Rhinolophus ferrumequinum: one gene and its partners. The protein of the gene in region 3 purifies or fractionates together with the protein of the main gene of each other region. This does not show direct contact. Links are inferred from orthologs where the notes say so. Each region holds a gene or a part of one and is shown on either strand. Other genes may lie near its edges. The genes, in order: MED18, POLR2B, MED9 and MED16.

Evidence for each region.
Region 1: the proteins of MED9 (region 3) and MED18 purify together in Homo sapiens (affinity purification with mass spectrometry; 6 studies listed by BioGRID and IntAct, counting the BioPlex papers as one, with this or other methods). This does not show direct contact. The link is inferred for Rhinolophus ferrumequinum from reciprocal best matches to the Homo sapiens genes MED9 and MED18.
Region 2: the proteins of MED9 (region 3) and POLR2B purify together in Homo sapiens (affinity purification with mass spectrometry; 4 studies listed by BioGRID and IntAct, with this or other methods). This does not show direct contact. The link is inferred for Rhinolophus ferrumequinum from reciprocal best matches to the Homo sapiens genes MED9 and POLR2B.
Region 4: the proteins of MED9 (region 3) and MED16 purify together in Homo sapiens (affinity purification with mass spectrometry; 5 studies listed by BioGRID and IntAct, with this or other methods). This does not show direct contact. The link is inferred for Rhinolophus ferrumequinum from reciprocal best matches to the Homo sapiens genes MED9 and MED16.

The regions. Positions count from the first base shown.
Region 1 is NC_046292.1:19,448,811-19,455,767, reverse strand, and holds the start of MED18 (mediator of RNA polymerase II transcription subunit 18), read right to left. Parts: upstream 3,013-6,957; 5' UTR 2,822-3,012; exon of another isoform or gene 2,225-2,821; 5' UTR 2,156-2,224; coding exon 2,083-2,155; intron 1-2,082. UniProt on the Homo sapiens protein: Component of the Mediator complex, a coactivator involved in the regulated transcription of nearly all RNA polymerase II-dependent genes.
Region 2 is NC_046288.1:18,688,130-18,695,235, reverse strand, and holds the start of POLR2B (DNA-directed RNA polymerase II subunit RPB2), read right to left. Parts: upstream 3,017-7,106; 5' UTR 2,464-3,016; coding exon 2,445-2,463; intron 1-2,444. Other genes in the region: NOA1 (nitric oxide-associated protein 1), read left to right, coding at 3,242-4,391, 5,269-5,433, 6,067-6,272. UniProt on the Homo sapiens protein: Catalytic core component of RNA polymerase II (Pol II), a DNA-dependent RNA polymerase which synthesizes mRNA precursors and many functional non-coding RNAs using the four ribonucleoside triphosphates as substrates.
Region 3 is NC_046304.1:1,260,239-1,267,459, forward strand, and holds the start of MED9 (mediator of RNA polymerase II transcription subunit 9), read right to left. Parts: upstream 3,013-7,221; 5' UTR 2,940-3,012; coding exon 2,728-2,939; intron 1-2,727.
Region 4 is NC_046301.1:62,029,084-62,036,868, reverse strand, and holds the start of MED16 (mediator of RNA polymerase II transcription subunit 16), read right to left. Parts: upstream 3,011-7,785; 5' UTR 2,813-3,010; intron 1,393-2,812; 5' UTR 1,368-1,392; coding exon 1,235-1,367; intron 442-1,234; coding exon 334-441; intron 26-333; coding exon 1-25. Other genes in the region: R3HDM4 (R3H domain-containing protein 4), read right to left, coding at 6,355-6,458, 7,549-7,604, 7,686-7,771. UniProt on the Homo sapiens protein: Component of the Mediator complex, a coactivator involved in the regulated transcription of nearly all RNA polymerase II-dependent genes.

The DNA of each region.
Region 1 (6,957 bases), on a different chromosome or scaffold from region 3:
GAAAAGGGCCTGAGGAACTTAAGGAAATGAAAGGATATCAGTGTGGCTGAAGTGTAGTGAGTGAGATGGCAAATGATAATGAAATGAGGAATTGCCATGGGCCAAAGCCTGCAGGCCTTACATATGGTCCATGATAAAGGCTGCATTTTATTCTAAGGTCATTGGGCAGCTATTAGTTCCACATTTTATTCTCCACACAATAGGGAAAGACATGAATAGATTTACATCTTAAAAAGATCATTCCAGGGCAGCTGACTGGCTCAGTAGTTAGAGTGTGGTGCTCATTAACACCAAGGTCGCAGGTTCGATTCCCACATGGGCCAGTGAGCTGCACCCTCCACAACTAGATTGAAAACAATGAGGAAACAACAACTTGACATGGAGCTGATGGGTCCTGGAAAAACACTGTTCCCCAATATTCCCCAATAAAAATAAAAATAACTAATTCCAGGAAAACTGATGGACTCCACCAAGACACAGTCATGGGGGAAAAAAGTGGGGGCAAAGGTAGACTGGTCCAAATTAAAAGACTTAAAAGACACAATTATCAAACGTAATGCATTAAACCTGATTGCATCCTGGTTACAAATCACATTTTTGGGACAATTAGGGGGAAATTTTTGAATATAGACTAGGTATTAGATGATACTAAAAATATATTATTCATTTTTTAAGATAATAATGATGGTATTGGGGTTATGAAGGAAAATATACTTTTTTTAAAGAGATGTATACTGAAGTGTCCAGGGATAAAATGTTATGAGGTCTGAAATTTTCTTTAAAAACAGCAAAAGAAAAAAGATGAAGCAAATATGGCAAAATTATGGAAACTGAAATCTAGATGATGGAAATGTAGTGTCTACTATAATAGTCTCTATTTTCTATATGTTTGAATTTTTGAATAATAAAACAAGTTTTTAAAAGATGACTAGCTATTGTGTGAGAAGAAATGATCAAAAGTAGAAGCAATGTAGTAAGTGAGAGATTGCTAAAACAATTCAGGGATGATAAACCAGGGTGTGGTACTGCAGGTGGAGAAAAGACACATTTAAAGTATATTTTGGAAGTAAAATGAATAGGACTTAGAGATATACTAGATGTAGGATAAAGGAAAAAATGGAGATTGACTCCTGAATGCTTGGCTCAAGCAACTGGTGAATGGCAGTGGCTCTTACCAAAACGGGAAAGACCGAAAGAGGAGGAGCTTGAGGAGTGAAAATTAATAACCCTATTTTGTTCATATGAAGTTACTAAATGAAGGATCTGAATTAAAGCCTAAACTCTTTCACTAAACATTATATGACCTTCTGAAAATCATTAACCTTTCTGGGTCTCGAGTTTTCTCCTCTGGGCAAGTTACTTTACCTGTTTCCTGATCTATAAGATGGAGCTAACTAATAAGAGTATCATAGAATTACCATATGATCCAGCAATCCCACTTCTGGGTATATATCCAAAAGAATTCAAAGCAGGATCTTGGAGAGATATTTGCACACGCATGTTGATTACAGCATTATTCACAATAACCAAGAGGTGGAAGCAATCCAAATGTCCATCAACAGATGTACAGGTAAAGAAATGTGGTATATACATAAAATTGAATATTATTCAGCCTTAAAGAAGGGGATCCTGTCACATACTACAATATGGATGACTTGAGGCTAAGTGACATAAGCCTGTCTGTCATAAAAAGACTAAAGTTCTATGATTCCACTCATAGGAGGTATCTAAAGTAGTCAAAATCAAAAACAGAAAGTAGAAAGGTGGTTGCCAAGGGCTGGGGGTGGGAAGGAGGGGAATTAAGTGTTTCATGGGTATAGTGTTGCAGTTTTGCAAGATGAAAAAGTTCTAGAGATCATCTATACAACAATGTGAATATACGTAACACTGCTGAACTGTAGATGTGAAAATGTTTAAGATGGTAAATTTAACGTTATGCGTTTGTGACCATAAATAAAAGTAAACTTTTTTAAAAAAGTCTATTGGGTTACGCAGGCTGCTTTGGCCTAACAGGCTCTCATCTCCACAGAAGCTGAACAGAAAAGAGGAAAACAGGTAATCCAAGCGCTCAGGTTCACTTACCCTGCAGCAGGTACTCCATCATGTTAATGGTGCCTCCAGTGACAGGCATCATGGTGACCGGAGGTGCCTCCATGGTGTCTAATTAAGTTGAAGAATTTAGACTGGATTCCGAGTCCCCAATCAAGAAAAGCACAGGATACACCTGGAGAAGAATTACACTACTTAGTACATCAGAGAGGTAAAGACACCAGATCTGCTTCTGTCATTGGTCTTAACATCAAGATTCACTGGTTCACTCAAAACTTTTTGAGTAACTGCTATGGTCCAGTTTCAGGAACTAATGATATAGAAATACACAAAGGAAACCCGACCACGGAGTTAGAGCACAATTTTCTACCCTCAAGGTCTGAAATCTTTACAAACGTTCTGTTCAATCTTGAAGAAGTCATCAAACCTCTCACCCTGGGACTCAACGTCTTCCTTGTAAAATGGGGTCAACGATATTTAGCCCCCAAGACTTTCTGGCTCAGATGACATAATGGACATATAATAATACTCAGAAAAACTGAACGGTGACTAAGGGACTTGCCTGTCCTTCAATATATAGATGAGGAAGGATACTGAGCAGCGGAGAAGAGCCCAAGGACACAGTCAACTGGTAGCAGAGCGCGCACCAGAATAAAATCCGGGCGTTCCGCCTCTCTGAAAACGGCTTTTAAAGCGAGCCAGGCGGAAGCGCGAAGTTAAGATGATGGTTTAGGTGCTCCTAAACCAGCATCGAGAACACGTGACCACTTACACCTCCGTGCGCGCTCTACCCTCTTCTCATAAAGCGGAGAATTATATCTACCCAAGCATTTCTAAGCTTAAGAGCGACAATTAGCCCCCCGCCTTAAAATTCAAACCCCTGGACATTGCAACACTCCTTCCTCCTCTTCTCGCTTCCGGCCAAGAAGCCGACGTAGTACAAACCTCCCCACCGCCGCCGCCGCCGCGCAGCCTAAGGGTACCGACAGGGCTTGAAATCGCTCTTTGACCGGCAAGCAGAAGCGCATGCGCAAGATGCGACACTGCTGCTTGGAAGATGGCGGCCTCCGTGGAAGCGTTCTTCTGGGAGTTACGGGGTGGAGGGAAAACCTTGACGTCATAGGCTGTCCTCCAGGACATTTTTTTTTTTTTCTAGTTCGACGACCTGGAGATGTTTTTGTCTAGGAAATCTCTTGGAACTGACGAGGGGGGGAAGAGAGCCTGGGGAAGGGAGCTGCAGAATAAAGAGAGACTATTTATAAAACAAAGACTTTTTGTTGGGTACCTGAAGGTGAAAAGAAAAGACATTTGCTGCTTAGCATAATGTTCTGAACAATTAAAGAGCTCAACAATACACTTAATATTTGTTCACTTTACTGTGTATATTTTAACTTCAATTTAAAAATATAGAGTGTTAAGTAAATTCAACGAGTATTTATTGAACGCTACTTATGTGTCATGCAGATAGGAGAGGGCGGACAAAGTGGGGACTAAAGTTAAGTGAATGAGGCACTCTCCTGGAGCAAAAAATTTAAGGGGACACCAAAAAACTCAGTAACTAAGATAAATAATACTTTAATGCAACATTTTACAAATTTAATACCAAAAAACCATTAATGAACAAAATATCAAAATTTCAAATTTGGATCTTCACAGCAGCCCTAGAAGCCAAGTATTCCTGTAATTTTACAGATGGGGAGACGTAGGCAAGAAGTTAAAAAACGTGCGAGGGAGTGGAGAAGCAGGGATACAGATCTAAGCTGCTGATTCCAGAGCCCAAGCTCTTAAATTATTACATTAAACGGACACTTCTAGCTCTAGCTCCCCCACTGGAATCTATACTACTGCCCATTCATTCATTTTTTTAAATTGAATATTTCTTGAAAGTCTGTTGTGTTCTAGACATTCTGTTAACTGTTGTTGACTTTATCTCTGCCCTCAAAAGGGTTTATGGGCAAGTTGTGGCAATCAGAATTAAACGGAGACAGTACCATGTGATTCGATTTAATAGGATAATGGAATATAAATAGCTCAGCTGCTTGGGAAACAACCAGTTTGCTTGATTCATCTTGGGGGCATCAGGGGAGGATTCCTGGAAAAGGTAATTAATGCTGGGGTGGCCGGATGGCTCAGTTGGTTACAGCGTGAGCTCTTAAAACAAGGTTGCTGGTTGGTATGGTGGGCTGTGTTCCCTGCAACTAAAGATTGAAAACAGCGACTGGAATTGGAGCTGAGCTGCGCCCTCCACAACTAGATTGAAGGACAACGACTTGGAGCTAATGGGGCCTGGAGAAACACACTGTCCCCCAATATTTCCCAATAAAATTTATTTTTTAAAAAAGTAATTAATGGGGGCCGGCCCGGTGGCTCAGGTGGTTGGAGCTCCTGCTCCTAACTCCGAAGGCTGCTGGTTCGATTCCCACATGGGCCAGTGGGCTCTCAACCACAAGGTTGCCAATTCAATTCCTCGAGTCCGTCAAGGGATGGTGGGCTCCTCCCCCTGCAACTAAGATTGAACATGGCACCTGAGCTGAGCTGCCACTGAGCTCCCAGATGTCTCAGTTGGTTGAAGCGTGGGCTCTCAACCACAAGGTTGCCGGTTTGACTCCAGCAAGGGATGGTGGGCTGCGCCCCCTGCAACTAGCAATGGCAACTGAGCTGCGCCCTCCACAACTAAGACTGAAAGGACAACAACTTGTAGCTGAATGGCACCCTCCACATCTAAGATTGAAAGGACAACAACTTGACTTAGGAAAAAAAAAAAAGTCCTGGAAGTACACACTGTTCCCCAATAAAGTCCTGTTCCCCTTCCCCAATAAAATAATAAATAATAATAATAATAATAATAAAGTAATTAATGCCTAAAGTAACCTGAAGGAACAATACCGTGTTTCCCCCAAAATAAGACTGGGTCTTATATTAATTTTTGCTCCAAAAGACACGTTAGGGGGATGTTCAGAGGATGTCATCCTGAAAAATCATTCTAGGGCTTATTTTCCGGTTAGGTCTTATTTTCGGGGATTCACGGTGGGTGTCAGCCAGATAAAGAAGGGAGGAAAGGGAATTCTAGGTAGTGGGAACAACATGTATATAAGGTCATTGAGTTCAATAGAATTAGGATACAGAATCTGAGGTTAGAAGGGATGAGAAATGAGTCTGGAGGAGTTGGGCCCAGATTCTGGAGGATTTTTCACATCAGACTAAAGTAGAGATGTGAGCTTTAAAGAGCTCACTCTGGCTGCAATGTGGAGAAAAGCTTCGGAAAGGAGGGCCTGGAGAAATAAGACCAGTTAGGAGCTTTGGCACAACTCCAAATGAGAGATAATTGCAGAAGAAAAGACAGATTTTAAAAATATAAGAGAATCATTTGATGAGTAAACAGGTAAAGACAGGGAGAGGGAGTCACAAATGTCTAAATTTCTACCTTGGATGCCATAGTAATGCTTTTTTCTGAGCTAAGAAACACGAAGTCATGTAGGTGAGGCAGGAAAGATGAGTTCATATGTAGATACAATAAGCATGAGGTGTTTCAGGAACACCCAAGTGCAGTGCCCAGCCGATGTGCAGGGGAGAGAGAGCTGGGCTAGAGGTAGAGATTTCAGAGTCAGAGCTTCAAAAACAGTAGCTAAAGGCATGAGAACAAATGAGATTACCCTGAAAGAGTGTACAGAATAGGAAGAGAAGATGGCTAAGAACTGAAACTTGTATAGGATTCTGACAGTTATTTGAGCTGTGTATACCCCAGGGCTTAGGATGTGCCTCCTGATAAGCCTGGTGGTTCACAATATTGGGCAGAATGACAAGTTCTCAGTGCTGTAATGACTGGAGGAGGTTGTAAAATTGCTGGGCCTCTCTTTTCCTATATAGACATCAACCAGAATGGAAAATTTAGTGAATCATGGGTTCTTTGAGGCACCAAAGTATTTACTCAAATTTTAGCTGGCATTGTATAGTAGGGTTAAATTTAAAATATATATATATATATATATATACAGGAAATGGATGAATAATATGGTAAAATTTGGATAAGGCCTAGGAATTAAAGGGATGCGTTTCTTTGATAAGGATGTGAGGTCTGGAGCTTAGAACTGGGCTCACATCTGTCCTCTGCCACTACACAGCTGTGCAACCTTGGGCAATTCACTTCCCCTCTCTGAGCCTCAGCTTCCTATTTTTGTAAAATAGAGATAAAAAAAATTTCTAAGGCAGAGATTGCAAAAATAAAATGTTTATGAAACACTTAGCATAGTGCCTGGCTTATTGCAAACAGTCAATAAATGGTAGCTATTATTATTATATTTGATATCTCTCATTTGAGCAAATAAATTCTGTCTTATTGAATATACTTTGTGCAGATCTCACCCCCCCGGACGGATGTAAACATCTTGAAGGGAGGAATCATTTATTTTCTTTATATGTATGTGTCTTAGCTTGGGCTGTTATAACATAATAAACATATAACATAATAAACATAATAACAGCATAAACTGGGTGGCTTATAAATAACAGGACTTTATTTTTCACAGTTCTGGAGGCTAGAGGTCTGAGATTAAGGTGACAGCATAGTCAGGTTCTAGTGATAGCCCTCTTCTGGGTTGTAGATTGCTGACTTCTCATATCCTCACATGATGAGCAGAGCAAAGCGAACTCAGGTCTCTTATAAGTGCGCTAATCCCATTCATGAGGGCACTTCCCTCAGGACCTCATCTAATCCTAAGCACCTCCTAAAGGCCCCACCTCCTAATACGATGATATAGGGAAGTAGGATATCAACACATGAATTTTGGGGGACACTAACGTCCATAACAGTGTGCTTTACATGTACTAAGTGTTCAAAAAGTTTGTGGAACACATCACAATAGCTGCCAATTATTGAAGAGTTGCTACACACCAACAACTTTACACTAT
Region 2 (7,106 bases), on a different chromosome or scaffold from region 3:
CCCCAGGGCTTGATGACTCACTAGGTATAGGGGTGAAGAAGAAGAATCAAGAATCATGCCCTGGATTCTGATTTCAACAACAGAGGAGGGTGATACCATTCACTGAGATGGAGAACACAAAAGGAAGCAGCTTTGGAAGGGGGATGAGGAAAGGAAAATGACCAATTTGAATAATGACAAGTTTGAAGGGCCTGAGAGACATCCATGTGAAACTGTCTAGTGGCAGTTAGACATACAAAACATCTGGACTGGAAATATATTTTCAGAAGTCGTTCACATAAAATGGTAAATGAAGCCATGGAGAATGGATGAAATCATCCAGGAAGAATGTGAACAGAAAAGGATAAAAAGGAAAGTCACAACATAGGTAAGAGCCATTAAGTCAGAGTGATCTGGCAAAAGAAAGGAGTTCCAGAAGGAAGTCATCAACAATATTGAATACCACTGGGTCTGGATAAAGTTTAAAAATGCCCACCTGATTTACCAACTGAGAAGTCACTGATATTCTTATTAAAAGCTGTTTTAATGTAGTGGCATGAGCAGAATTAGATTGCAGTGCGTTGAGGAGAACCTGAAAGGTGGGGGTTGAATCAAGGACAGCCTATTCTTTTTAGAAGCTTGCTGTGAAATGTGGAAAGCTTTGCCTTCCAAAGGCAAAATATTGGGAAAAAAGGAAACAATAAAGAGTTTAACTTATTTTCTTATGGACAAAAGAGATCTAATAATTCACATAGAAAGAAGCCAACTGAAAAGGAGTGTCTGAAAACTGACAAATCTAATAAAAGATACAAAGGACACAGGCAGGAATGTAAACTCAAAGCTGAAGAAGACTTTTATCAAGAGGATGACTTGTAACTCTTTTTTCCACAGAATTATTTATTAACATGGCGAATGAGAGGATAAAGCACAACAATCACTATCATGGTCACTTGGCACCATCTGGTCACTTAGCAAAATGTTAAACATGTATATCATTTGACCTGACATTTCTACATCTAGAAATTATCCTACAGACATACTTGTACTAAACAAAAAAAAGTACAAGATTATTAATTCCAGCACTGTTTGAACCACGGGAAGAAAAAGGGGAAATAACCCAAATGTCCATCAATAAGACACTAAAGTTATGGCATATCCATTCAAACTACGTAGCATTGGGGGGGGGGGAAATGAGAATGCTCTCTATGGATATGAAAATCTCCCAGGTAGATAAATACACACACACACACACACACACACATATACACACATAGACATATATATATATATATATATATATATATATATATATATATATATATAAAACGTAAAAAATAAAAAACACAGAAAAGTGTAAATGTTCCTATGGGTGGGTGGTGGCAACAGAATCCCACTTATTTCCTTGAATGTACATAAAACACTATGGAGTGATAATCTAAGACAAGTGGGTACCTACTATGAAGGGGGTTCACACTGGGAGATGGTGGGCAAGAAAAGAGACCTGACACTAACATTTTTGTATTTTCTGGCTTATGAGACACAGAAATACATTACCTAATCAAAAAATTAAATTAAGAAAAATTTTTTGAATTTCTTTTCCACTCAGAGAGGCGTTAAGGGAATATAGTAATGCTAATACATTTCTAGACTCAAGATGTAATTGACACAGAGTAATTTAAACAGCAGAGTTTAAGCTTTTGTTTTTCTAGTTTCTCCTTGAAGTAGCTGAGGTAATAAGAAATGTGAAGGGTGGCTACGGGCTGGGAGCTAGAAGTAAATGAAGTTTGAAATAGTAGCTGTGGAGAATGGAAAGGGGAGCTTTAAAAATACATAATGAAAATACAGGAGACATGACTAATTCGGCACGTGAAAAGATATATTGGCCCTGTTCAGTAGAACACGTACCATCTAAGAACTATGTTATTTTGTGGGAAAAGGAAATTTAAATGTCCTCTTTTCAGACAATTGCCTTAGATGTATGACAGCATTGAAGGAATGCCAAACTAGACCAACCCCGTCCAACCACACACTGTATTTTTTGTCCCCGGTGTATTTCCAAAGACTAACACAAAGCCTGGCCCAGGTTGACGCTCATAAATTCAATAAATCCACTAATTCTGGCCTTAAGGAAAATGAAAAAAGGAACCCTTCACTGCACACAAAGTCAAAACAACGGAATTTATGTTAGGGTTCTGCACGCTATTCCAATACAGGAAGGAGGTATGATTTATCCAGCAGACAATGGAAGGAACAAGTGCCACTCAGACCGGGAATATTAATGCTACATTCCCTGCACCCTCCACCTCTCGTAATCCCGGCTTCGTCCCCGGCCTGGGGTATGCAGGGAACATGACTGTGGACACTTGTGCAACGGGCTAGGAGGAAGGCCAATCCTCAATTCGTCCAGCTCCCCACGTTTCCCTACTTAGATGGGTCGCCGGGGAGTGTTCTGAGCGGTCACCTACCCTCGTCCGCGTCATACATGTTTGCAAACGGTTCCCGAACTCTAAGCTCTTGAAATCACAGACAGAACGGTGCGCACCAACGACCAGCACCAGGAGCCTGAGACAAAGTAATTTCCGCCGACGGCGTTCCCAGAATACTCTGCGTCTTCCGCCAAAGGCCACCCACAAAGAAGCCAACGTAAGATCTGCGCCTGCGCATATGGTAGGCTAAAGTGGACAAGGGTTAGAATTGCGCACGCGCAAACTGCAGGCCTACGGGTCCGGTGGCTGATTGCGCACACCACTCCTACAGTCTGAAGATCGGTTCCAGCCAATGAAAAGTTTTTGGTCGTTTTTCAATATTGCACAAATAATGACACCTGAAAAAAAGAAATAAGAGACTTAATTAGTAAAAAGTGTTCATTGTGGCCGTCAGCGTATGGCATTCGACGTTGTACTTTTTGCACTTTTAAAGCCGAAAAACAGTGCTTTTTAAAACGTGGCTTATTAAAGGCGGGTTATGCCATTGGTGGCGCATTGAAGAAGGCTGAAAGTGACCAAACCCTCACAAGCTTCTTCTGCCCAACCGGCACACTCTAGGTCTCCGTCCGGTACCTTTGCCACATCTTTGAGCGGGCTCTTAAGCCTTGGGGCTTTCATCGCGAGAATTTACGAGATTAGATGCGGGAGGAGGAGCCGAAAAGTGCCTGACAGTTTTCAGGTAGTTCCGGGCTTAATCTCGGGTTTAATATGCCACATGGGCCCCAGTACGCGTGCGCACAAGTGGCTCCGCCCCTTGGTACAGGGCCGGGTTCCCCATGCTACCTGCACTCCTAACCCGTAGACTGCTGTGCCCCTTGCTGCGGGGTTCGGTTCCCACCGTAGCGTGCCATGGCCTCTGGGATCCGCTCCTCAAGAGAAGATGCGCGGCCGCCCCCTCCTCCCAGCACCTGTCGGGCCTGGGACGTGAGCTTCCTGGTGGCCCGACGGCGACTGGGGGTTACGAAGGCAGGGATGACATGGAGGAGCGTTTTCTGTTCCCCGAGTACGTCCCGGAGCCGGAGCCCGCACCGACCCTAGAAGAGCAGCTGCGCGAGCTGCAGCAGCGGCAGGAGGAGGAGGAGCGACAGAAGCAACAGCGGCAGGAGGAGCGGCGGCTGCAGAAGTTACGGACCAGCCGCCGGGTGCACCCGGTCGTGGGGCACCCGGACCCGACGGTGCCGCGGAGCGGCCTGAATTGCTCGGGCTGCGGGGCGGAGCTGCATTGCCAGGACCCTGCCGTGCCCGGCTACCTGCCCAGTGAGAAGTTTCTTAGCGCGGCAGCGCAGGCCGACGGCGGGCTGGCGCGGACCGTGTGCCAGCGCTGCTGGCTGCTGGTGCATCACCGGCGCGCCCTGCGCCTGCAGGTGAGCCGCGAGCAATACCTGGAGTTGGTGAGCGCCGCTCTGCGGCGGCCCGGACCCGCCCTGGTGCTGTACATGGTGGACCTGCTCGATCTGCCCGACGCCCTGCTGCCCGACTTGCCCGCGCTGGTAGGCCCCAAGCAGCTGATCGTGCTGGGAAACAAGGTGGACCTGCTTCCCCAGGACGCTCCCGGCTACCTACAGCGGCTCCGGGAGCGGCTGTGGGACGACTGTGCCCGCGCCGGGCTCCTGCGGCTCCCTGGCCACTTAGGGCCACAGCACCCCGGCGGGGACGGGCCACCGGACGGGCAGAAGAATTGGAACGCTTCCACCGGGTCCCGCACCGTGCTCAGGGACGTGCGGCTCATCAGCGCCAAGACTGGCTATGGAGTGGAAGAATTGATCTCTGCGCTTCAGCGCTCCTGGCGCTACCGCGGCGACGTCTACCTGGTTGGCGCCACCAACGCTGGCAAGTCCACTCTCTTCAACACGCTCCTGGAGTCGGATTACTGCATCGCCAAGGGCGCTGAGGCAATCGACAGAGCTACCATCTCCCCTTGGCCTGGTGAGCCTTAGGATGCCTGCCCCTTAAAGCCACCAGGGAGTGTCTGGATCCTTCCCTGTAAAAATTCTCTCCCTACTTTGGTCACACCTCTCTTCTGTGTCAGCTTAGTGCTTGAAAAGTTAGTATATGTCATAGTAACTTCCTGATAGAAATATTTGTGTTTCTATCATAGTAACTTCCTGATAGAAATATTTACTTCTATCTTTCGGTCACTGTTCTAGGCACTGGAGATAAACCAGAGAACAAAGCAAAGTTCCTGCTTTCTTGGAGGTTTCTCTTGTGGCTTTACTTTGTATGTTTCCCAGAAAAACCCTTTGACTTTCTAAACCTCCCTTTACCCCTCAATCTTACTCTTCATATCTTGAGTTCATGATATCAGTTTGCCACACATGTTTAACATTTAAATAGTTCACTAATGCAATATGATGTATGGCTTTAGAAGACGTCAATTTTGTGGCTTCAGGGAACTTCTGTGACTGGGAAATGGGTCCATCTATGACCCTGTTTGTATTTAATAGTTGGCAAAATTAATGGCATTATTTGTTCCTTTGAAACCAGTGTTTGATTTTGCTTGGTAAGCTGTTCTTTGCTGTCCTAAACTATGAATTATACACAGAAGTACTTTTATATAGTATGGTGAAGATGGAAAGAAATCAGGCCTGCGGGTTTGGGATTCACCTCCAGGTTGAGCCTGTGAGCCATTCTCTGAATCTATTTCCTCATCTGTAAAGTAAGAATAATTTTGTAGAGGGTTGTCATGAAGGTTAAGTGAAATAAATTACAGTGCCCAAGACAGTGTTGCTCCTTGAAAATATTAGCTTTCCTCCCTTTATTCCCTTGTGCAATGTTTATAAAAATGTATTCTTTGATATTTCAGGTACTACATTAAACCTTCTGAAGTTTCCTATTTGCAACCCAACTCCTTACAGAATGTTTGAAAGGCAAAAAAGGCTAAAAAAAAATGCAAATGAAGTTGAAGAAGATCTTAGTCAGCTAGAACAAAATCAACTTACTCTCCTGAAAAAGCATGGTTATGTAGTAGGTAAGCATCTTCTAGAGGAAAACTCTTGGTGGATCTATGCTCAAATTCTTTGTTGAGCAACCTGAAATACAGCTGTCTGAGGCTAGCCAGTTTTTGCTGGGAGAGACTACTTTTCTCGTTCTGGAATATAGAGGCCCTTTAGAGGCAAGGTGGATGTTTGGAAAGCCAGAGTTCACTGTGCTAAGAAAACTGAGACAGTAGATACTTGGAGAAATGCTGGAAAGGAATCATGAAGCAACTGCCCACCTAGCCATTGTCAGCAGAAGAATTTCCACAAAGATGTAGCCTCGCTCCTTGAAGACCAGTACAGGTTGTTGACTCCATGCAGCAGCTCTAAATTAGATGGTCCCCCTTTCATTGGTTATCTCTTTTCAACCTTCATTTACAAATGCAGTTTGACTTCCACCAGTTCTCACCACCCACCTCCCTCTGATATACACAGCCAGCCACACACTTGATGATCACAAGAGTCTGACTCCCACTGACTTAGAAAGAAAAAAGCAAAGCTATCATTGTAGTCTCACTTACATACCCCATATTAGTCTTCGTAACTTGAGTTGAACATGAGAATTACCTGTCTGGAGTCAAAGGCTTTAAAGGAGTGGCTAATAACTTCAATATAACTTATTCTAGGACGAGTTGGAAGAACATTCTTGTATTCAGAAGAACAGAAGGATGAAGCTGCCTTTGAGTTTGATGCTGATTCACTTGCCTTTGACATGGAAAATGAACCTGTGATGGTTGCAGATAAGTCCACCAAACGAGTAGAACTGACCCCACAAGATGTGAAAGATGCCCACTGGTTTTATGACACCCCTGGAATTACAAAAGAAAATTGTGTATGTATTTGATGTTTTTTAGAAACTTTAGATTAACCTTCAATTGTATGAGTACCGTCTTAATTGACAGAACACAGGAAAGGAGGTATACTTTCCTTATAGACTCAGTTCTGATTCATTCATAGCAACAGTTCAGGAATGAATCTGTATGCCATCAAGTTCTGTATTCCATTTGGTGGGCTTCACTGCTGACACCCTACTTACAGTATTGTGGTTGTTACCTTAGTTAGCAAGACATTTACAGAAGCGTAGATTTTGAGGTTGGAAGAAATCATAAATATCACTGCAGTCCGGCCACCTAGTCCATGCTTGAATCCCCTCTATAACATAGCCATCAAGAGGGCGTCCAGCTTGACCTGAAGTGAGGAGTGACTCACTATCAGCTGAAGCAGTGTCACCTTGCCTCCCAAGGTAACCTATTTGATCTCTGACCTGCTCTTTTTGTGGAGCTGAACAGTCTCCCTGTAACGTATGCCCATTGTTCCTCAAGGTGTATGAAATGCATGCCTGTTTCCCTTGCCAGACTTTGAGGTATTTTAAAGTATGATGTCCTGTCTTTTCCTCACTCTCCCATTTTCTTCTCTTTCATTGGCTCATCCAACTTCCTGAGTACTTCCTGTGCTGACAATCCTGATTCTTTGTCATTATTTCCTACCTATAGACATTATTTCCTCCTCTGAGACAGGCTGTTCATCCATCCAGGCACGTTTTCAGAATGGTTTCTAACTTGTTTTTGTCTGACACTAAGAACTGAATTTCTTGTATAAGTGCCCTCAGATGAGCATAACTGAGAATAGTATTATATATCTTTTTAATCCATGGCAGGATCTCCTG
Region 3 (7,221 bases):
ACTGGCGTCACCCCTATGACTCCTCCAGGAGTCACAAGGTCTCCCTCATTAGCCTGTAAACTCAAACATACGTAGGCGTACTTTAAAATCGGATCCTCGCCCGTTTTCAGGGTTAGTTTCTCTCCTCTGTGCGCACTACCCCGTTTCCTTCACGTGGCTTCTTCTGCTCCTCTGCTTTGTCCTCTCTTACTAGGGGCTTTCTTCACACGCTTAGTGACCTTGGCTATCCAGTCATGTGAACTGACTAGGTTCTTTCTTGGGGAGCCCCCAATCACTTTTCTCTTGGGCTGGTCAGACACGCAAGAGCAGGTGACTCTATTGTCTCCGGCTGCCACTCTAGAAGCCAGGTGGGGAAGGCAAGGGTGGGGTCTCAGTATTCAGTGCGAGAACTTTCTCTTAAGCCGGGTTTTCCATCCGGTTCCCTCCCTCACAGTCCTGCAATGTGCTTGCTGTCCCTCCAGACCAGATACTCTCTGGCTTATTCTTTCCTAAGAATACATCTTGGGAAAGAGCAACCCTTTAATTGTCTTCCAAGATGGAAGAATGGTAGTCACCTGTCTGCTTAGAGTTGGGGGAGAGAGCTATGGGGGTCTCCCTCTTAAAAAACAGACTTTTAAGTAATCCTCCTGTTCTCAGTCTCCCTTCACCCCTACATCCAGAGGTCCCTGGTACTGCCAACTCCTGAGATTTGGGGACAGACAGGCCATGGTCAAAGGCAGTTGCTTCAGGCTGCTTCTTGGGGTGGGGTGGGGGGTGAGCCCTTGGCCATCTGCTTTGTGGCAATTCGTTCCTGTCCTGTTCTTTTGGTTTTGTGCTTAAAACAAAACAACTCTTCACTGTCCTTTTAGAGGAAACAGAGACCAAGACGTAATCAACCTACCATCTTTCACCAGAGACTGCTCTTGAGTACACCTCACAACAATCTTATGATTTAAGTATTATTAGTCCCACTTTACAAGAGAAAGAGAGGCTCAGAGGAGCTAACTTGTTTGACCGAGGTCACTCAGTCAGTTCAGTACAAAGCTGTAATTTGAACCCACTGTTGGAAGTGCATTATTATTATTCTCACAGTAGAGAGAAGAAAATTGAGGCCCAGAAAGGTTCAGTATTCACCAAGATTACCAGGCAAGCAAGCAACAGCATGAGATTTTAATCCAAGGCTATCTGACTTTAAGCCCATGTTTTCTCTAGTGTACCTTCCTGCCCCATCTTTTTTTTTTTTTTTAATTAAAGTGTATTGGGGTGACAATGGTTAGCAAAGTGACATAGGTTTCAGATGTACAGTTCTGTGTTACATCATCTGTGTATCACATTGTGTGCTCACCGCCCGGAGGCAGGGCTCCTTCCATCCACATACTTGTGCCCCATCTTCAAGGCCAGCTCAACCCAACTGTCTTACTGGGGCTCCAGAACATACTCCCGGGGTGTCCGAGAACTGTCTCCGAGAATGTGTGTATTTTGTTTTCGTTTTTCTTGTTTTTCTTCAAACATGTATTTGTAATCTAGCACTGCCCTGGGATTGCAGAGTCTGCATTTCTGCTGTCTGCGCTCTTACTGCTGCAGAGAAGTGCTACTTGATGATCACAGGCTAAAGAGAACAGAGTCTGTCTTTCCCTGTACACAGTATGGTCACACCCAGTGAGGCGAAATGAAACCAGGGCCTAATGTGAGAACAAAGAGCGTGCAGTTGTTTGAAAAGTGGCGGAAGCATCAGGTCATCAATCCACAGCAAGTGAACCTTGTCCGGCTGAACTCAAAAGAGGCTGGGTCACTAACAGCCAATCCTTGCATGTTGTGTGTAGCAATTCCACTTCAGCAAAACACCAAGAGCACATATATGTTCACCTGAACATTACTATAATAATCATTTTAATTTACTTTGTTTGGGTTTTTAATGGTTGAATAATTTACAAGCCAAGGGGTTTACACCGAGTATTATGTGCATATAAATAACATAACAGTAAAAATAATTTAGGCAAACATTGGGATCAAGGAGATTTTTGGTTGTGGCTTTTAGTTTCCTTTACAGGGTCAGTTTGAAAACTCAGGCTAACCTGAAGAATGGCCAAAAGGCGGCCAATCACCCATTTTGATACTATGTTAGAACAAAGTCACTACTACAGGATCCATTCTGGTGGGCAACTTCTGTGTCGTTGTTTTCTTTAATGTTTCCCATTGTCACCCACCAACCTTTTTGAACTGTGAGCTATTCCCGTTTGTCCCTTTTCCCCTTCTAACTGGTAAGCAATGTAGGGACGAAAAGTTGGCCCTTTTACTGTGCGTCCCACAGCACTAGGCAGTGTGCCACACAGGGAAGATGATCCTATCTGTTGGATCTGTCGGAAGAAGGAAACTAAAATGAGTGTTGCCCCTATATCACGGGGGAAAATCCCGAGGCTCAGAGAAGCTCGCCTTGCGCCACCTCACTAGGATGCAAACTTGAGTAGCCTGACTGCAGCGCCTGTGCATTCAGTCTCTAAGCTGGCTTCATAGTTAAGAACGTCGCCCGGCCAGCCACACGAGGTCTGGCAGCTCTAGGGCTCCAAGCATGTGCTGAACTCACGGAACGACTCAGTGAGGTCCTGGGAAAGGCCTCCTCCCCCTCTGGGTCTCAGTTTCCCCATCTATAAAACGGGGGTGTACCGAGAGCACCTAGGCCTTTGCAGCTGTGAAACGTGACGGGAAGAGGGAGGGCGCGTCGCGGCTGGTCCTCTCCCGGGCCCTTACCATTTGATGATGTTGTGAACCAAAGGTAAAAAGGAGTAGGTCTCCTCTTTCACGCCCGCCGGTGACTGAGGCCTCGGCGCCGCCGACTGCTGCGGCTGAGGCGCGGCGACCGGCAGCGGCGGCTGCGGCTTCGTCTCGGGCAGCGGCGGCTCGGCCGGCGGCGGTAACGCATCCTCAGCCTGTCGCCCGGAGGCCACCCCGGCAGAGGCCATGGCGCTCCGGCTTCCGTCAGTCCGCCGGACCCGATCCACTTGCCGGCCGAAGGCGTCGCGGTCCCTCAACGTCACTTCCGCACGCCCGCAGGGGGCGGGACCTGTGATCGTGCGCAATTGGGCGCTGGGGCGGAAGGCACGGGGGCGGGCCGGATGTTACTAGGCAACAGTTGATTGGCAGGTCTAAGGTGGCCGGGATTTGGTTGTGAAGATAACCAAATTATTAAGTAGTCAGAAATAGGGGATTTGCCTCAGAAATAACATCTTATTCCTATTCACTTAACGAAGAGGGTCCAAAAGCAGCTACTGGAGGAAGGCTTTAGATAAAAAAGGCTCGGTCGGCATGGCCCAGCCCTCAGAGGTCTCCCAAAGAACCAACTTGAACGGTGAGCAGAGTAGACACCACTTACCAAGCACCTGTTATGTTAAGGCACTGAGCCCTAAGGACATTGAAAATCCAGAGGTGAAGGACCTACAGCCCTACGCCACGCAGGAGCCTCCAGGAGGAGAGGCAGCAAACCCTGATGGAGCTGATAGTGCGAGACCCGGTGCGAGCCCTAGCACGCAGAGGCACAGCCCTCAGAGCTCTGCAAGGCTGGATAGAGAGAAGCTAATGATTCAGCATTTAATATGCATCTTCTGGACGATAGATGATGTACTAAATGTGGGGGGAGGGGACAGGAGGCTGTCTTCACTAATACAAAGCAGAACGGGATTCGTGCCAGGAATAAATACCATATCCTAGAGCAAAGTCAACCTCAGGTACTCTCCGTACCTGTGTGCCAGTCTCTTAAGCTCCTAGGCCCCAGTTTCCTCACCTCTAATACATTCTTTAACTCAGGGTCACGGCAGACCCTAAACTGCTTTCTAATTTCAGATCCATGGTTATCTCCAAAGGTCTGGTTTCAGGACCCTCTAGCATCCTAGGCCAAAGTGGGTAACCCTCAAAGTGGGTTTGTGGTTATGTTCCTCAAAACAAGTATAATTTCTGGGCAATGGGGACACCCATCCTAAGCCTAGTTAGTGAGTGGAAGAAGTAATGAACTAGGACAGCCCCATTCTTCCTCCGTCTACCACCATGAGCCTTAAAGAGAGGTCAGGAAGTCCACATTCAGGTGGCAAGATGAGCAGTAGCACTTCAGAGCAAGGGACTGATCCCAGGGAAAGCATCAATGGTAACATTTGCAGATGCCTCAGGAGGGGTTTATGGAGACAGATCCTAGGGGAGCAAGACCGCAGAAGGAAGTGGGGATGTTGGAGTGTGTGCTGTAGAGAGTGAAGGGCCTCAGCGCAGCTTTCTTCAGCAAGAGCTGCCCACAGCACCCCAGAGGGAGAAGGCTGCAGGGTTTTCTTCCTGTGAATCATGGATCTCTCTACCTACGGGAAGAGTTCGAGAGCCCTGGTGGAGAATGGAGGAGAAAATCCTGTTGGGATAGGAGCAGGTGTGCTTAAAGAGACTGTATACCCTTGGAGCCATCTGGGGAAATAATGATGATACTATAGCAATACTAATAATGATAATGATAGTGATTCTACAACTGCTACTAATAAAAACAGTAATGACCACAACTGCCGTGCAATGAAGGTAGGCACATAAAACAGAGTCACAATCATCTCATTTAATCAACAAAAGAGCTCAAAAGGTAGGTGTTAGTATCTCCATTTTGTGAAGGACCTTACAATGACAAAACTAAGGCTTACAATGGTTAAGATACTGGCCCCAGGGTCACACAGTTTGCCTGACACCAAGCCTATGGTCTTACCCAACACATAAGAAACCTTGGGTCTCTACCAGTTCTGTAACTTCATGATTCGAAATGTTAACAGTGAAATTTGTATTCAGAATTCGAAAAGCAATCCAATATTCATCAGTTAATATTCCCATGGCAATCACACGTCATCTTTTCCCTCCCAGTGTTTTACAACTTAATTACAAGCCCCAATTTTGTCATTGGCAGAATAATGAGGACATCTTTTTAAAAAAAGAAAAAAAAAACACTTTAGATATAAATAGACATGGCTAAAGAAAACAAATTGAAAATGTAGGAAGCATAAACGAGTGTGGTGCATTGACAATTTGCCCTAAAAACAGTTAATATAATTAGTGGCAAAGAATAAAGCTGGCTTCATAACATTGCAAGCCAGTGTCAAAAAAAATACTACCTGTGCTGGTTTCATTAAAGCTAAAATTGCCACAACAAATGTGTGTCTGTTCAGAACCGGTCCATTACAAGTTGAAAAAGGCAAATGCTCTCTTGATACGTAAGCACTGTGTATTCTTAGAGACATCACCAAATTAAGGGATCTTGTCCTTCCCTAGGCAAATTGACTCTGTTTCTCGTAGGGCCTTTCCAGTCAAGCTGGCGGTTCCAAGGTCAGGCCGTTAGAGCCAGTCTGTCTGACTTCAGTCCCAGCTCAGCCTGCTTCAAATTACATGACTTTGCACAACCTCACTTCGTGCAGCCACGCAACTTCCCAGGAGGACTGAACGGGTTATTACATATAAATCATTTAGAAAAGTATCTGTGAACAGTAAATATTAGCTCTTATTATTCAGATTTAGGGCTTGCTTCTTTACCAATTAACAAAACCCAGACTAACGCAGTTAAGAGGAAGGATCTAGATCAGAGCTCTCCGGCAGAAAGATAATGCAAGCTGTAAATCAAGCCACATAGGTCGCTTTCAATTTTCTAGTAGTTACATTAAAAAATAACAAGAAACAGGTGAAATTGATTTTGATATATATTCTATTTAATCCAATATATCCAAAATACTATCATTTCAACGTTTAATCAATATCAAACACTGCTAGAGGCCTTTTACTGTTTTTCGCACTGTCTTAGAAATCCAGCATGCATTTTACACTGACAGCATATCTAAATTCGAAAGGCCACATTTCTAGCCAAATGTGGCCAGCTGCCACAGGACTGGATGCTGCAGTTGAGAGATCCATATGTGTCTACATAGCCAGAACTCAGCATAATGATGAGAGGAAAAAAGCAAGTTTCACAAAGGAAGTAGAATGTAGTACTACTCATGCAAATGTTTGAAATATGAAAAATAACACTGTATATTGTCCAAAGATACAAGATGTAGATGTACGAGTAAAAATATTTTTGAAAGGAACTGAAGGGTATACCTCACTCAAGTAGAAGTGTCTGACAATTAGCTGTGTTGATTGATTGTGTGACTTTAAGCTTTTAATTGCTGTGGGATCCATTTCAAAGACTTCCCTCTGAAGTAAATATCGTATTGTCAGCTACACAACCAGATAGAGAGCCACCATTCAGTTCACCTTTCAGAAAGCCCTGGGGAACCTGGACTGACTGGCAGTTTGACCACTTGCTTTCCCTTCCTGTGCCTCAATTCCTGCTCTTATGTTTTAAATTCATCAAAAAGAGAGTGAGCCCATGAAACCCTAAGCACCCCACCCTCAACCCCAATAGAGACAGAACCCCAGATCTTGTCTCTCTCTCTGCCTATGACCCTGGAAGTGCCATGCACTCTCCAGGACTTGTAATAAACCTTGTTTTTTGCAAAGTTACCTGATGGCTATTGCTGAGGTGTGCCTTGCTTTTAAAAAGAACTACAAGGGCTGGTCCAGCCACAGTATTGGTTCTGGTGGGGGAAACGTCTGTGGGGGTGGCCCCACGAGGCACAGGCCCGGGTGAGTGCCCGGGCACTCCTAACTGAAGCAGTACTATCAACAGGCTGAGACAGACGCAAACACCTTCATGGGATGGGGATCGCACTGCAACTCTCTGCATAGTGTTATATTTTTAAAATATATTTATGTATTATAAGAGGAAGTAAATTGGAAAAATATGAACAATTGCCAAATACGGGGATGGGCACCTGGGAGTTTGGTACATTAGAGTCCAGGCTCTACTCTTTCTAACTGTGTGACCTTGGACACGTCATTTAACCTTCCTTGCCTCAGTTTCCTCATCTGCAAAGTGAAATCATAACGGTACCTACCTAATAGGGCTGCTGTAAGGGTTACACGAGTTAATGTAAAAGTGCTTCAAACAATACCTGCCACGTAGTAAGCACTATTTAAACTTTGGCAACTACTGCTGTTTTTTCTAATTTCTCAACAACAACAAAAAACCCCTCATAATTATTCCTTATGAAGCAAACCGTTACTACAAGCACAAACACAAAACCCAGACTGCATCCAATAATTGAACTTTCAGATGCTCTAAGTGGACCTACACCACAAATACCTATGAATATGTTTGTGATACATTTCTGCTACGTGGAGTCCAAAAATAGTCATTTC
Region 4 (7,785 bases), on a different chromosome or scaffold from region 3:
GCATCAGCTGACAGTAGCCGGGAGCCTGTGGGGGGCAAACCTGCATCACAAACCCCCACTGCGGGAAGGGATAATCACCGCAGTATGTTAAGGGCCTGGGAGAAAGCAGCCCAGGGGAGTGGCACAAGGTATGCTGAGGAAATGGCTCTGGACATGGGGAACAGGAACAGCAGCAGCTGCAAAGCCACAGGTCAAAGGTTCGAGTTCCAGCTCTGGACTCTGGGGACATAACCAGGAAAAGACAGAGCATGTGACCCTGGGATTCAGAGTCAAGGGTGAGCACCACCGTGGTCTCCCTCCGCCATGCAGGAACACCCTCGGCTCTGCCCTCACCTGACTGGTCCCACTCAAGGCAGGTGATGGCCTCGCTGTGCCCTGAGTTGATAGAGTGCACATCCCAGGGATGCTCCGTGTCCAGGATGTGGATCAGTCGGGTCAGGTCTGCCGGGGTGGGGGACAGGGCATGGTCAGCAAGGTGACAATGACATGGCCCTGAGGCAACCAATGACCCCAGGGGGACTCAGGGAGGAAGCCAGAGAATGTCCCACCCACAGGGGAGTCATGGAGGTGCTGCTGACCAGATCGACGGCCCAGGCAGTAACGAGGAACAGGCCGTGTCCCCAAGGGAGAACAGAGCAGGCCCGGGAGTCTGCCACCAGTGTGTCTACAACCACATTGTTAAGAGACCCAGAAAACAGAAAGGGAAGAAAATGACCCCATACATGCTGACATGGAAGGTGACAGGTGGTTCTTTTTCCTCAGTTCCTGCGCTTTTTAAATTTTCTGTAATGAGTGCACATTACTCGGATGATGGAGAGAAGACAGCCCAGCATCCGTGCACCTTAGAGGCTTTCAAAAGCCAAACAGTGACATGTACGGCCCGGAAACTGAGGCACTAGTCTCCAACAAACCGGAGTGGGCTGCCCACCCTCAGCCCCTCCTATCACACAGGGGTAGGAGAGCATCCCCACAGTAGCCAGCACTTCAATGCGAGGTTCACCGAGGACAGCAGGCAGCAGTTCAATGCACCTGCCCTTTGCACTCCTGTGAGGATGAGACCCTCACCTCCCCCAGTTACAAGTGAGGAAGCCCTAAGAGGGCCTGGATGGGTGGAAGATAGCTCCCAGGCAGGCCTGGAGACTTGGAGTTGCCCAATAGCAGTGTTCCAGGTACTGTGGGAGCCTGTGTGGGGAGAGGAAGGACAGGGAGCTGGGCTGGAGGTGAGGGGACACACCCTGGTCGTCGTTCCGGAGGTCTGTGGTGAAGGCGATGAGGTTGCGGCAGGACCAGGCGCACGCCAGGGGCACTGATGGGCAGTGGGTGCTCTTGGGCCATTTCTCCCACTCGCAGACATAAGCCAGATCCATCTGTCACAGGTCACACACCAGTCACCTGAGGGAGGGAATGACCACCTGAGGGAGTGACAGAGAGGACTAGCTCATCGTAGCATTCACTGAGCACCTGTAGGGCACTAAAAGTTATGCTGGATGCTGGGTCGCCAGAGAATGAAAAGGGCCCAATCCCTGACCTTGGGTTTTGGGGATGGGGTGGGGAGAGCTGCATTTTAAACATGGAGGGTCAAGGAGGCCACACCAGGGAGACAACATATGAGCATGGGTGTGAGGGAGGTCTGAGGCATGGAGATGTCTGGGGAAGAGCATTCCTAGCAGAGGGTACAGCCACCGCAAAGGTACAGAGGCTGGACTGAGTCTAGGGTACTGAAGAAGTGGCCACGCAGCTGAGCTGAGGGTGGGGGTGACGGTGAACTTTCACCCAGAGTGAGGTGGGAGCCCCAGGAGGGCTGTGACCTATTTATGTTTCAACAGGACCCCTCTGGCTCTCTGCAGGGTACAGCTTAGGAGATGGGGTGGAAGTAACTGCACTGGTCCAGGCCAGTAACAAGGTGGACGGCAGTGGCAACTGTAAGAAGAGGTCGGATCCTGGGTTTACTCGGAAGGCAGGGCACTGGTGGGGCTGCCTTTGGCCGGGTTGGCGGGGAGTCAGCAGTTTGGTCTTAGTGTGGGACGTGCTGAGTGGAGCGCTAACAATAGAGGCGAACGTTTCCTCAGAGCTATGTGCCCGGCATCAATTATAGGTTATTTCCTTTCACCATCACAAAAGCCCAGTCAGATTGTTAATACGATCAACCCCCACGTCCCCAATTCTCCAGGCCCTGCTCCAGAACAACAAAGCCGCGCCACAAGCCCCTTCAACACTTTAAGTTCCGCTCCCAAAGCCTTCCATCCCCATCCCCTTCAATCTTTGCTTTCCAAACCCCGCTCCCAATTTGTTCCTTGAGCTCCCAGGCCCAGCCTAAACTCTCAGGCTCCGCTCCAGAGACCCCAACCAATCCCCCAGCTCAGTCCCCAAAGACCTCCAGCCACGCCCCCAACAACCTTTGCTTTCCAAACCCCACCCCCCAGATACCTGGCTTCCAGGACCCCACCTCCAATTCTCCCTCGGTACCCAGACTCCATCACAGGGGCCCCGCGCAATCTTTAGGTCCCGCCCCCCAGTCTCCCAGACCCTCAAGCCTCCCCTCCATTCGTCCGAGGACCCTCCTCAGGGACAAACAATCCCTAGACCCCGCCCCAATTTCCCCCAGCTCCGGACCCCGAGTTGCCGCCAAAAACCCCAGACCAAGCCTAGCGCGGCCCAGGCCACGTACCCAGAACCCTTTGCTCTCCAGACCCGCCCTCTGACCCCACAGACCCCGCCCAGGGCCCAGGAGTCCCCGCCTTCTCCGGGCCGCGCTGCCCTGGGCCGTCAGGAGGCCGGCTGACCCTCCGGGCCGTCGTAGTCCCGCGCTCACCGGACGGGCCCGTACACCACGGCCGCATACAGCACTCGTCCTAACTCCCCGGTTCCAGCGCCACTCTCTTTCCCCACGACCAACAACTCGACCGCGCAGCGCGACAGCTTCCCGGAGACTTCTGGGACGGCGGCGGCTCCGGCTCCGCCCCACTTCCGGGTCGTTTGAATATAGGCATTAATAATTCCCAGCAGCCACCTGAGTTTTATTTGGTAGAAAAAGAAACACTTTTTCAACTCCAGTAAATGACCGCATTTGGTTCCGCTATATGTTACCCTAACATCATATAAGAATTTGTTGCTAAACTTTTGTAACGAGGTTCACCGTTAGTGTAAAGAAATTTTATCTTTACCCTTTAAATAGTTCTCGGGTCACAAGTCGAACTGTGCTCGCTTCGGCAGCACATATACTAAAATTGGAACGATACAGAGAAGATTAGCATGGCCCCTGCGCAAGGATGACACGCAAATTCGTGAAGCGTTCCATATTTTTCTCTTTCCTGGTATCAGGAACTGCGACAAAATAAAGGAAGTGGTTTACCCAATCGAAGTTGCTTCCGGTCTCAAACCCCATCACTAAGTCCTCTAAAAGCTAGTTCTGTTTGTTCTCTACTTCTGTATAATGTTTATAGGTGGGGAAACTGAGGCGCTGATAAGCCCAGGTACCTTATCCAATTGAGGGCTCTTCTGGATTCAAACCCCATCCTCAATTCCTCCTCCAAAAGCTGCTTCTGTTCCTGCCAGACTTTCCCCAGTTTGAAGGGTCTTCCCCAGGAAGAACCCCCGGGGATTGCACGGAAGGGTGCACCGGGCGTAAGGCACCTCCTGGACAAAGGCCTGGAGGCCCTGGGAACCCGGCAGCCTGGGAACCCGGCAGCCTGGGAACCCCGGCTGGAAGAACTTGACACAGCCAGCATATGTCGAGGACAAGACTCGAACCCGCGTGGCAGTGGGAGAGGCCTGTGTGGGCCCCCAGAGCCCCATGCCCGAGGCCGAATCCTGTCCTCTGGGAACCTGGGGACTCGGTCCCCTTCGCAGATGGGAGGCTCCGAGCTGGCGACTCAAATATCTCCTTTTGTCCTCCGTACTAGCCATTTGGATTTCCATTATTCAGCGTCTATCTTTAAAATTATTTAAATGCATATTAAAATGGAATACAGTGCACCCAGCGCCCACTGGTTTCCAAAACAGTGCCCGGATAAAAGGAACCAGGCACCTGAGAGAAATACACCAGCCGAGCAGGAGCATCTTGTAGCGGCAGGAAGTCAGGACCGTGCTCAGAAAATTACCCCACAATGATGGGGATGCCTCAAAGAGACATGGGAGCCCTCCAGGAGAGCTCCCAGGGGCCAATCCTGGAGTCATTTCTGCAACAAAATGAAGTCATACTGGATTATAACCCAAAGTAGTAGGAAGTAAATACCCACCCCTCCACAAAGACATAAATGATTGAATAAATACAGGCACCGCGCCGGGGAGACGTGGCGGAGCTGAGGTTTGAACGAGGAACCAGGGAGGGGCCAGGGCGGCCGAGCCAACCGCCAGACACTTCCAGTCTCTCCACCTGCCTCACTCTCCGGCTGTCACTCAACGCGAAGCTCCTCCCCCATATCCACAGCCATAGAAACTCTTCCTCCAGATCCACAGCCCTACCTTGCAAAATTTCTATCGAATTAACGTAGATTCTCCGCCCTCTAGGAAACTCCCATCCCTCCGCGTTGGCTGCTCAAGGCGACTCATTCCGAGAGGGCAGGTGGGGCTGGGTGGGGCGTGGTTTAACTTCCCAGTGCAGAAGCCTGAAAAGCACCCCGGCCAGGAGATCAGCGTCAAAGTCAGCCGTGAGGAGCAATTGGGACAGCAGGGACCCTGATGTGATCAGATGAGCAGGGCGCTTCCCTCAGTGCAATCATGGGGGAAACAGCAGAAAACCCGGATGGGGAGGTCCTGCAGGACCCCCGGCCAGTCTCAGACATACATAGAGGGAAGACAACGTGAAGAGACGCAGGGAGAAAGCCACGTGACGACCACGGAGGCACAGGCCACAGGGATGTAGCCACAAACCAAGCGACACTGGAGTCCCGAGGAGCTGAGAGAAGCAGGAAGGACCCTCCCCTTGAGCCTCCGGAGGGAGCGCAGCCCTGCCACACCTTGAGTTTGGACTTCTGGCTTCCAGACCTGGGAGACGAGAAATCCCTGTGGTTTTCAGCACAGTGTGGGATATTTCTTCCTGCTGCTTCAGAAACCTTCCACGAGTTCATGCAGCTGGGGGGCGGGGATCATACAGCTGGGAAGTGGCAGACCTGGGGTTTGAACCTAAGCACCAGTGAGGGGCCAGGGCGGCAGAGCCAATGGCCAGATGCTCCCAGAAGTCTCTCTGCCACCTGCCTCACACTCTGGCTGCAACTCAGCGTGAAGCTACTCCCCCCAGGCCCACAGCCCTCAGCGACCAGGGCGCAAGAGCATCATGAGGGCCTGTTGGGCCCCAGCCCTGCCCCAAAAGAAAACCCCACAGCTGGAGACCAGAGCACCAGAAATTTATTGAACTCTCCACTTTCCTCAATGAGCAACTAACCACATACACGGGAGTGGGGTGTCCCCCAGCCCTGCTTCTCTGGACCAGGACAGGGTGACCAGCAAGAGAAAACCCCAAACCAATAGGCTAGAGCCAGGCTGAAGGAGGGGAAAGGTGAGGGGACATGGGGACATGGAGTGGGGAAAGTGGCAGTCCGAGGGAGGGAGCTTCTGGCTGGAAGTCCCAGACCTCCAGTATGAAAGGAGGGGAGAAACGTTGGAGGTGGGGGGAGTGGTAGAGCAGGCAGGGCCCCAAAAGCCACAAAAAGGCACCCGTTGACACACATTCCAAAGAGGGTTAAAACCAGCCTTTAAGCCACAGCTTGTCTAGGGTCACGAGCACTGGTATGCCCACGCGTACCCAGACACACACACACTCTCTCTCTCTCTCTCTCTCTCTCTCTCTCTCTCTCTCTCTCTCTCTCTCACACACACACACACACACACACACACACACACACACAGAGAAGATGGACTGCTTCTGGGCAGCACCCCAGAGACCTCCCCATCCTAGCCTAAAACTGGGAGGGGGTAAAGCAGGGACTAGAAGAAAGCCCCCCAATGTATCAGTTGGGGCAAGTATTTGGTTTTTCTTCCCAAATGGGAAATTTAAAAATCTACAACAAATCACACCGAATTAAGTGATAAAAACCCAGCTACTTCTCACTTAAGCTTCAGACTGGGCACAAAAAACTGAATCAAGAAGGAACATCAAAGTGAACAGACCGGTCTCCCCACCCAAATACAAGTCCCAGAGTGGGGAGCTACGGGGCCCTGGGATAGTTTGGGGCAGCCCCAGCTGCCAGCTGTTCACCTGGGAGAGCTGAGCCGGGCTGGGGCCAGGGTGAGGAGACCGCTTCCCCAAGGGGGTGAGCACATCTTCAAGGACAAACTCTAAAAATAACAAACATATTTTAGCAGATGGTATGGGAAGTCTTGGTGGGGGAGAGGAGCCGGCAGGCAGGGCCGCCATCAGCTGCGCTGCTCCAGGTAAGCAGACAGTAGCAGCCCAGGTGGCAGGAAGTCCAGGTGACGATTGCTGACTTTCATCTGCCTCTTGCCCTCCAGGTCAGCACCTGCAAGAGGGGACAAGTGGGGCAAGAATGAAAGGAACGTGAGAGTCATGGCACACAGAGGCACCGAGTTCTGGCTCTTCCCTGCCAGAAGTCACTGCAAGCTGGCACTTAGGGTCTGTCTGATGTGACCCCCTCCCCCGCCCCAGGTCCCAGGGCCAGACTCCCGCAAAGAGCAGTTGCTACGTTAGGGCCTCCCTCTGCACCCTGTTTCATCCTTTGTGTCCTTCATCCCGTGTTTAGATGGGCACACTGACACAGAGGCTGGAGGCCAAGGGGACACGGGCCCTGAACAAGTGTCGCACCTCTTTCCTGGTCCCCTGCGTCCATACCTGCCCTCAGGATCTCTGAAGCTCAGTCCTCCCCTGGCACCTCCTCCGTGCAGGCCCGGCTTTTCCCTCTCCCCTGCTCCCCATCTTGCACCCCCAGCCCAGTCCCTCCATCCTAAGCCTATGGGAACAAAAGCAAACATCCTGAGTCTATGGGAACAAAGGGAAGCATGGGGGCTGCTTTCCTGTGAGGGAGAGCTTCAGGAATCTCAGGATGAACCATCCTGGGGTTGCCATGGAAATTGTCTCAGCAACTCTGGGCAGGAGGCAGAGAGAGAGAGGCACGGGGAGTTCCTATTGGGGGCGCTCAGGGCCAGCTAGGGCGTGTGAGCACCCTTCCTGGGGGGGCTGTGTCCCGAGACCACCCCCTCCTGTAAAGTGGGGACACAGGTCCCAGGAGGGGTTACTTGCCAGAAGTCACATGTATGGCACAGGGGAAGGGGGCTATAGCTAAATGAGGAACGTGCAGACACTGGGGTACCCTCATGTAATCTCAGGGCCCCTTGAGGCCCAGCTTCATCATCCCCACACAGGTCCTTCTCTCCCCATGGACCTGAAGATGTGGATGAAGGGGTGTCTGTTACACTGTGTCACTCAGAGTAGCGCCAGGGCCACAGGAGCCTCACAGTGTCCCACTGCCACCGCTTTGCTCAGGCTGTTCCGCAGCCCCCAGAAGCCTCTGGCTGAGTGAGCAGACCCCATTTGGCCTCAGTTTGCTGTGGCCAAATTGGCTCATTTGGGGGTCCCAGGCCCCAGGCACTTACTGGCTGAGATGAGGTCCATATACTGGCAGATGGCGTGGAGCAGGAGTCTTTCGAAGCTGAGGAGGAACAGGAGGTGAGTGGCCATGAGCTGAAACTGGCCACCCAGGGAGCTCACAGTGCCCGCCCCCACCCGTCACCTGTTGTCCAGCATGGCTGTGTACACGGCCTGGGGGGACACAGAGAAGAACCTCAGCAGCCTCTCCTCCCAGGTCTCCAGCGTTCCCTGCAGGACAGACA